Linked DNA regions of Macaca mulatta. The protein of the gene in region 2 purifies or fractionates together with the protein of the main gene of each other region. This does not show direct contact. Links are inferred from orthologs where the notes say so. Each region holds a gene or a part of one and is shown on either strand. Other genes may lie near its edges. The genes, in order: COPS5 and BTBD1.

Region 1 (3,817 bases), on a different chromosome or scaffold from region 2:
GGTGAAAATGATAGTAAGAGAGGCGGTGAGATATTTTTAGAAGGTAGATAAAACTGTCCCCATTGACTTCTTTAACATTAAAAAAATTTAAGATATAATTCATACATCATAAAATTCACCATTAAAAAAAGTATGTAGGCTGGGCATGATGGCTCACACCTGTAATCCCAGCACTTTGGGAGGCCAAGGCAGGTGGATCACGAGGTAAGGAGTTTGAGACCAGCCTGGCCGACATGGTGAAACCCTGTTTCTACTAAAAATACAAAAATTAGCTGGGTGTGGTGGCATGCGCCTGTAATCCCAGCTACTTGGGATGTTGAGGCAAGAGAATTGCTTGGACCCAGGTGGTGGAGGTTGCAGTAAGCCAAGATCATGCTACTGCACTCCAGCATGGGCAACAGAGCAAGACTATGTCTTGTGGGTCGTGGGGGAAGGTATGTAATACAGTGGTTTTTAGTAAGAATTCTTATACTTTATAACTTTAACTTTTTAATATGGCTTCTTTAATCTTTCAAATCTTTCAAAGATTAGAAAGAATCTTTGTTCAGTAGAAATTATATATTTTGAGGGCTGCAGACATGCTAGTGTCAGCTGGCCCTGAACCCATCTTTATCTTGTCATAATTTTATATAGGCCAAGTATCTTGTACATTGAAAAAATGTTTAGGTTGTGTAAAAGGCAAATGACATGCTAGTTTGAAACATTAATAAAAAATGCAAAAAAAAAAAATTAAAAAATGCAAACATTCACCTAAATTCATATACTATTATTGTAAAAGCTATCATGAAATGTATTTTGTGCTTTTTTTCTCATCTGTAAAAAAGGGCCTTGGACTGGTTGATATCTATGGTTTCTTTCAGCCTCCTGAGTGCTGGGACTATAGGACTGTGCCACCTCATCTGGCTAACTTTTATAACATGTTTTGTAGAGATGGGGTCTCACTATGTTGCCCAGGCTAGTGTTGAATTCCTGTCCTCAAGCAATTCTCTCACTTTGGCTTCCCAAAGTGCTGGGATTATAGGTGTGAGTCACCATGCCTGGCCCAGATATCTTTTTAAATTACTTACTGTTTGCAGTGTACACCAAAATCTTCTATTTTATTAAGTGGGATAGTCTGGTACTCAGAAGGTCCTTCATCAGGAGGTTTGTAGCCCTAAACAAAAATGAGGCAAACAGAAGATTAAAAATATATATATATAAACGAGAAAAACATCATGTTTTCTATGCAGCTTTCTAATTACAGGATTATTAATTTTGGGAGGCAAATACTTAACATGAGCATTCTAATAATAAAAAAAAAAATACTGTTTCTACTTTCCCCCTACCCTGTTTGGTGGCTATAGGCTGGATTTTGCTTACAGATTTATTTTTCTTCTCCTTAGGTGATGTACTTTTGTTCTAATTAACTATTTTAGATTGCAGGCTCCTGCCAGGGAAGGAAACAGACCTATAGATTTAGCTCGTTTTTTCTCTAGTACCTGTCAGAATGCCACAGGCACACAGATGGTTATTAAAGACTGCTTTCCCAGTAAAATTAACAATATATAACATAAATGTATTACCCTTTGCTAGGGACAGCTTGTGGTAGTTTACTATTTTGTAAATATTATTAAATTGTTTTAACAAAAAGAGATATTGCTAATGTCTTTAATAATAAGTCAAATATTTGGAATTTAAAACATGTAAGGACTTATAATTTTAAAAATTACTAAGCATTCCTACAGTCCCATCTACTTGGGAGGCTGAGTTGGCTTGAGCCTAGGAGATGAAGGCTGTAGTACACTATGATCATGCCTGTGAATAGCCACTGTACTCCAGCCTAGGTAACACAGTGAGACTCTATCTATCTCTTAAAAAAAAAAAAAAGTTACCTTTGGGTATGTCCTAAAGGCGCCAAGATTCACTTTCCCTGCAGATATTGTTCTTGTTGGATCAATCTATAAGAAAGATATATTTAATATTTACTGATATAAAACTGTATGCCTTTTATTGAAACATTATTAACCTAGAAATGTATACATACATATAACACTATATACATACACAATAACCAAATAAGAATAAACAAACCAAAAAACCAAAGAAGTTCAGTAAGAGGGTAATATAAGTGTCTCACAGCTAACTTAGAGATTAGAATTATTATAATATTTAAGAATATCATTTGAAGGTTTGCTCATCTCTTTTTAAAGTTTTCTTTTTTCCTTTTAAGAGATGAATAATTCCTACCTTCCTCATAAAACTGGATTGCACTTAAAACACCCTGAACATAATAAGAGCTGCTCTAGCAATTCCTGCTTATCTCAGATCAGTCAACACTGATTGAATGCCTATGATGAGCTGGCACTGAGACATAGATGCTATGACTATCCACATTTTATAGAGGGGGGAAGTGAGATACACAGTGGTTAAAAACACTTGCTCAAAGTCTCAGCTTCTAGGAGATGGAATTCACATTGAAACCTAGGCAGACTGACACCAGAGCAATTTCTCTTTACTACACTGTTATTATTTCTCATTATACTTGCTTCAGCAAATCTTCATAAAGAACTTAATTAAACTAGTTTTAAAATTCTTACCACCACTGCTACAAATGGTTCCTGGAACTGCTGATTGAGCATCTGAGTACTAACATCAATCCCAGAAAGCCAGCAGCCATAGCCAGGATGGCTATGATACCACCCGATTGCATTTTCAAGGCGGCCAACCTAACAAATGAAGGGGCAAAAAAGTTTAAGATTACTCTTTAATTAATTTATAAGGTACCAGTACAATAAAGGTAACCAGTCTCCTTCCCATCTCTTTCTCCTCAATTACCCAGTTTTATCAGCCCAGATGTGAAATCTATAGGCAATTGCTTACCCTTAGAGATATTCTTTGTATACAGAATACATATTCTTTGCATATATATAGATTGATAAAAACACACACAGTAGCATACCACGTAACAATAATAATGTTTTACACTTTGCTTTTTCACTCAATAAACTGCTTTGGAGTTTGCTTCACATAAGTCATCAATATACATGACGGTTACCTTTTTTTCTTTTTTTCTTTTAAAGGCTGCCTGGCAGTCCACTGATGGAATATACCATAATTTATTTAGCCAGTTTTATACTCAGTAACTGAGTTAGATTGTTTCCAAATTTTTTATTTTAAACACATATCTGGTAATAAGTGTGAGAGTTTATTTAAAAAAAAATAAAATCCATGCCATAGACCGGGTGCAGTGGCTCATGCCTATAATCCCAGCACTTTGGGAGGCTGAGGTGGGTGGATCACTTGAGGACAGGAGTGGCCAACACTCCTGTCCTGGCCAACACAGAGAAAACCTGTCTCTACTAAAAATACAAAAATTATGGAAGGGCATGGTGGCTCATGTCTGTAATCCCAGCACTTTGGTAGGCCAAGGTGGGCAGATCACTTGAAGTCAGGAGTTTGAGACCAGTCAGGCCAACACGGCAAAACCCATCTCTACTAAAAATACAAAAATTATCCAGGCCTACTGGTGCACGCCTGTAGTCCCAGCTACTCAGGAGGCTGAGGAGGGAGAATTGCTTGAGCCCAGGAGGTGGAGGTTGCAGTGAGCCAAGATCACGCCACTGCACTCTAGCCTGGGCAACAGAGCGAGTCCCTGTCTTGAAAAAAAAAAACACAAAAAACAAAAACAAAAAACCATGCTATAAATCTTATCAGGCTTTTAATCTCGTACATTTTACATATAAATCATTAAAATTTAAATATAACATTTCCTATAAAGGGGATAATTTTAAGTCTAGAAACTCAAAAGTCACCTTGAGACTCTAACTTGCACTTACTA
Region 2 (4,324 bases):
AAATGTAAAAAAAACAAAAAACAAATTGCACTGTCCCACATTTCAAACTTATTTTCTATTGATGGGAACTTATTTTCTATTGATGGGAAAGGACTAATAGCAGCTTCAGTGAAAATACAAAAATATGCATTTTTTCCTCTACATTCTTATACTAGTAAAGTCAATATTTTTTCAAAATAAAAAATTGCCCCAAAATAGCTTTAGATTTGTGATTCTCAAATTTAGTTTGTGTAAGTATCACTTAGGGAGAGTGTAAAAAATGCTACCAAGGTCTCGCCTCCAAATATTAAGGTATATAATGAGGACGGGATCTACACATTTCATAAGCACCCCAGAAGATTATAATGCAGATGGCCCACAGATCATTTTGAAAACTACTTCTGGTCTAGAAAATCCAAATGAACTATACCCAATCCTCCTGGTGAACTTTAAAATGACCTGGATTTTAGCTTTTAAGGTTCCCCCTCCTTTATAAATGTAATTGAACTAAATTACAGAAAATATCAGCAACAAAGAGAAAAGAAGAAAAAAAGGTACTTTCATCTTACTACTCCAGGTGCCTTTGCTTAGCATTTTGGTATGTTTCCTTTTATCCTTGTCTCTAGGTATATGTTTGTCCATTTCTTTTCACGTTGTAATCATGGTGCAGTTTCAAGTGCTATCCATCATATTTAGTGACCACATTATATTTCATCAAGTGAACCTATCACTGTTTAACCATTCCCTACAGCTGACTACTTCCTCACTACTATAAATAAAGTTGTAAATATTTTTGTACGCAACTTTTTTTCAGTACTTGAATGCTTCTTACATGTGGAAAGAAAATCTATAGCACCAAACTGTTTTCCAAAAGGGTTTTTACCACTATCTTTGTCAGATAACGCTGTTCAGATGTTACCTTTAAATTTTTTGGTGGGATTAATGGAAGGAAAAAATACCACTGTCTTTTATTTATTTATTTATTTATTTATTTATTTATTCTTTTTTTTTTTTAGAGGGAGTCTCGCTCTGTCGCCCAAACTGGAGTGCAGTGGCCAGATCTCAGCTCACTGTAAGCTCCGCCTTTCGGGTTTAAGCCATTCTCCTGCCTCAGCCTCCCGAATAGCTGGGACTACAGGCGCCTGCCACCTCGCCCGACTAGTTTTTTGTATTTTTTAGTAGAGAGGGGGTTTCACCGGGTTAGCCAGGATGGTCTCGATCACCTGACCTTGTGATCCGCCCGTCTCGGCCTCCCAAAGTGGTGGGATTACAGGCTTGAGCCACCGCGCACGGCCAAAATACCACTGTCTTTTAATTTGCACTTCCTAATTACCAGCCAGGTAAAACATTCGTTAATTAGTTGTATTTTTTCTTTGTCTAAGTTATCTATCCTGTTCCTTATCCATTTGTTAATGGAATCTTAGTATTTGTTTCTAGTTGTGTGAACTTTACATTCATTTCCTTGTTTGATTCTGATTCAGTGTGAACCTTTGTATCTAATTCTACCCCACTGACCTGCCTGTTTTTGCTTCAGTACTACCCAAGACTCTGCCACTTTAATAACAACACGTTCTACTCAGTCAGCTATTTAAAACCATCTTGGTATAATGAAACAGACATGGTCTTCAGTGTGAGTTAGCTGTTTGTTACCTTGGGCAAGATACTTGACTCTTCTCGGCCTCAGTCCCATTTGTAAAATTGGGGTAAACAATTCTTATGCCTCCTTAACAGGATGGCTGTGATTAAAAGCTAATAATGCCAAACAATCACATCTTTCCATTAGATGTCAATCTACTATCCTCAAATAACCAACAAGCAAATTCTAACATCAAGGGAGGGATGCATTTATAAGCAAATGTGACCTTGTGTGTAGAAACAGGAAACAGGTACAGCCTCACTTATCTGTTTTGGTATTTACTTTCCTGGGTCTTGACAACTAATACGTTAATGAAAAACAAAACAGTGGCCAGGCCCGGTGGTTTCACGCCTGTAATTCCAGCACTTTGGGAGACCGAGTGGGCGGATCGCTTGACCCCAGGAGACTAGCCTGGGCAACATAGTGAAACCCTCTCTCTACCAAAAAAAAAAAAATTAGCCGGGCGTGGTGGCGCGTGCCTGTAGTCCCAACTACTCGGGAGGCTGAGGTCGGAGGATCACAGCCCGGAGAGGTCGAGGCTGCAGCGAGCCATGATCGCGCTACAGCACTCCAGCCTGGGCCGCTTTCAAAAAACGCGGAGGGAAGGGGGGTGACAATAACCCCAAAACATCAGTCCTGCAAGATTTTTCAACTACTCCCTTCCCCCAGACAAAAACATAAAACATCGCAAATGAGCAATCGGGACAACCTGATCTGTCCCTCTATCCTTGCCACCTGTCTAATTCTGAATCCTGAGCGACAATCCACAATTGGAATGCGAAGCGCCTTTCAACGGTAAAACGTACGCTTGCTGGATGAAGACATGAACGTTTAGTTGGCGACTGAGCCGTCCCGGCTCACAGATTTCGATTTCGACCCTCCAGAGCATCAACGGCTCCGGAGGAAACTGAGGCCCCGGGCGGGTCAGAGGAGCCCAGCCCAAGGTCATCCGGGAGTCAAGGCGGGCCGGGCCCCGGGGGCCCCCTAGCCCGGCCCGCGCCGCCGCTCACCTCAGCAGCGCCAGGAAGGCGGCGGGCTCCACGTCCGGCAGCTCGATCTCGGCCGACGTGGTGGCCATGCCGCCGTTGAACATGGCGTCGAAGACAGCGCTGCCGGCTGCCAGCACGAAGCGGTGGGCGGGGATGCGCTGCGGGCCCCCGGCGGCGGCGGTGCCGCGGCCCTTGCCCAGTACGAAGCGCACATCGCTTAGCAGTTCTGAGTTGAAGAGGAAAGCAAACCGCTCCTTCAGCGACGCCTTGGTCGCCTGCCAGTTGTAAAGAGGTTCCCGCTGCAGAGGGAGCAGGGGCCCCAGAGAGGACGGTGAAGGCGGCGGCGGCCCCGCGGGGCCCGGCTCCGCCTCAGCCCCCGACGCCTGCTCCCCAGCTGCGGCAGGCCCGAGCGAGGCCATCCTCCAGCTGCGCGGTTGCCCAGGCTAGGAACAGAACTCCACCGCCATCGCCGAGACCGCCTCCGGAGGCCAGCACCGCCTCCCTGCCTTCCGGGAAAGGCGCTTCCGGGGGCCTTGCGCCTCCGCAGGCTCCTCCCTGACCGCGCGCGCCCCCGCACGCCGGGGTTGCCGCTGTGCGCGGCAGCGGGAGGTGTGACTGGACGGACTCGAGGAAGCCCAAGGGCAGGGGGGTGGGGAGCTCGTCCTAGTCCAGCGCTCTCGGAGGTGGAGCTTCTGCAGGCTGGGTGCTGCCGGGCCTGCGGGCACCCACCCCCTGGCTCAATCCTCTGGGTATTCTGACTCAGTAGGTCTGGGGTAGGGCCTGAGAATTTGCAATTTTAAGATGCATAGCAGATCTGCAGGCGGCTCGCACTCCTGCCTGGGGATGAGGGGCCGCGAAACCCGTGGAAATTCTGGGAGCAGAGGTGGAAGGCTTAGAACCCCAGTGACCTCTCTCCCCAGGTCCGCAGGTCCCTTTCCCTTCTAATTGCCCCTTTGGTTCGGTGCTCCAGGCTTAAGAGACATTTCCTTTTACTGTTTCTATCCCTGTACTTGAAACCCCTAGTACTTACCCACCTTCCCTTCTAGCGCTTGTTTTCAGTCCTTGCACTGAACAAACCACTGCTTAAGCTTGAAATTTAAAAAATTAAAAATTAAAAAACACACACACAATGGAAAAGGCTGTACTATCCCTTCCCAGTAAGTATTTACAATGCGGATCATCATGATTGGGGGACAGAGGCCTGCCTTCTCCCCCCTTCAGTGAGGCAGGCCCTGAGTTAAGTCAGCTGTTAAAGGCAGAACATAGAAAACCCAAGAAATAGTTATTGACCAGGCACGTATAGTTGGAAACACCTACTCTTTGCAGGAAGAGCCTTGCAGATTACAAATGCCTCAACTAAATAGTAAACTCCAAACCTGGGTTTCTCCTGTAAAATCACTCCACTTGTGAAACCACCAGAGGGGACTTCCAGCTGTTAGGCATTTAGAATGGTAACTTCTTTGGGAGAGGAACGTGCTCGGGAAGAGACTTAAAGCAGTAGGGACTGAAATAATGGATGCAACAACCCCTTCCCCAATGCCAGCCGGCAATTCCTCAAGACAAGGGGACATCATGCTACTAATGATACCATTATCACATAAAACATCGTGATAACAAAATTAACCATATCATCAAATCATCTATACATAATTTTCTTTTTTGACACGGAGGCTCGCTCTGTTGCTAAGGCTGGAGTGCAGTGGCACGAAGTCCGCCTCCC

What was found.
Region 1: the proteins of BTBD1 (region 2) and COPS5 purify together in Homo sapiens (affinity purification with mass spectrometry; 3 studies listed by BioGRID and IntAct, counting the BioPlex papers as one, with this or other methods). This does not show direct contact. The link is inferred for Macaca mulatta from reciprocal best matches to the Homo sapiens genes BTBD1 and COPS5.

What each region holds. Positions count from the first base shown.
Region 1 is NC_133413.1:77,749,467-77,753,283, forward strand, and holds part of COPS5 (COP9 signalosome complex subunit 5), read right to left. Parts: intron 2,706-3,817; coding exon 2,577-2,705; intron 1,938-2,576; coding exon 1,872-1,937; intron 1,154-1,871; coding exon 1,068-1,153; intron 1-1,067. UniProt on the Homo sapiens protein: Probable protease subunit of the COP9 signalosome complex (CSN), a complex involved in various cellular and developmental processes.
Region 2 is NC_133412.1:73,672,126-73,676,449, reverse strand, and holds the start of BTBD1 (BTB/POZ domain-containing protein 1), read right to left. Parts: upstream 3,095-4,324; 5' UTR 3,024-3,094; coding exon 2,626-3,023; intron 1-2,625.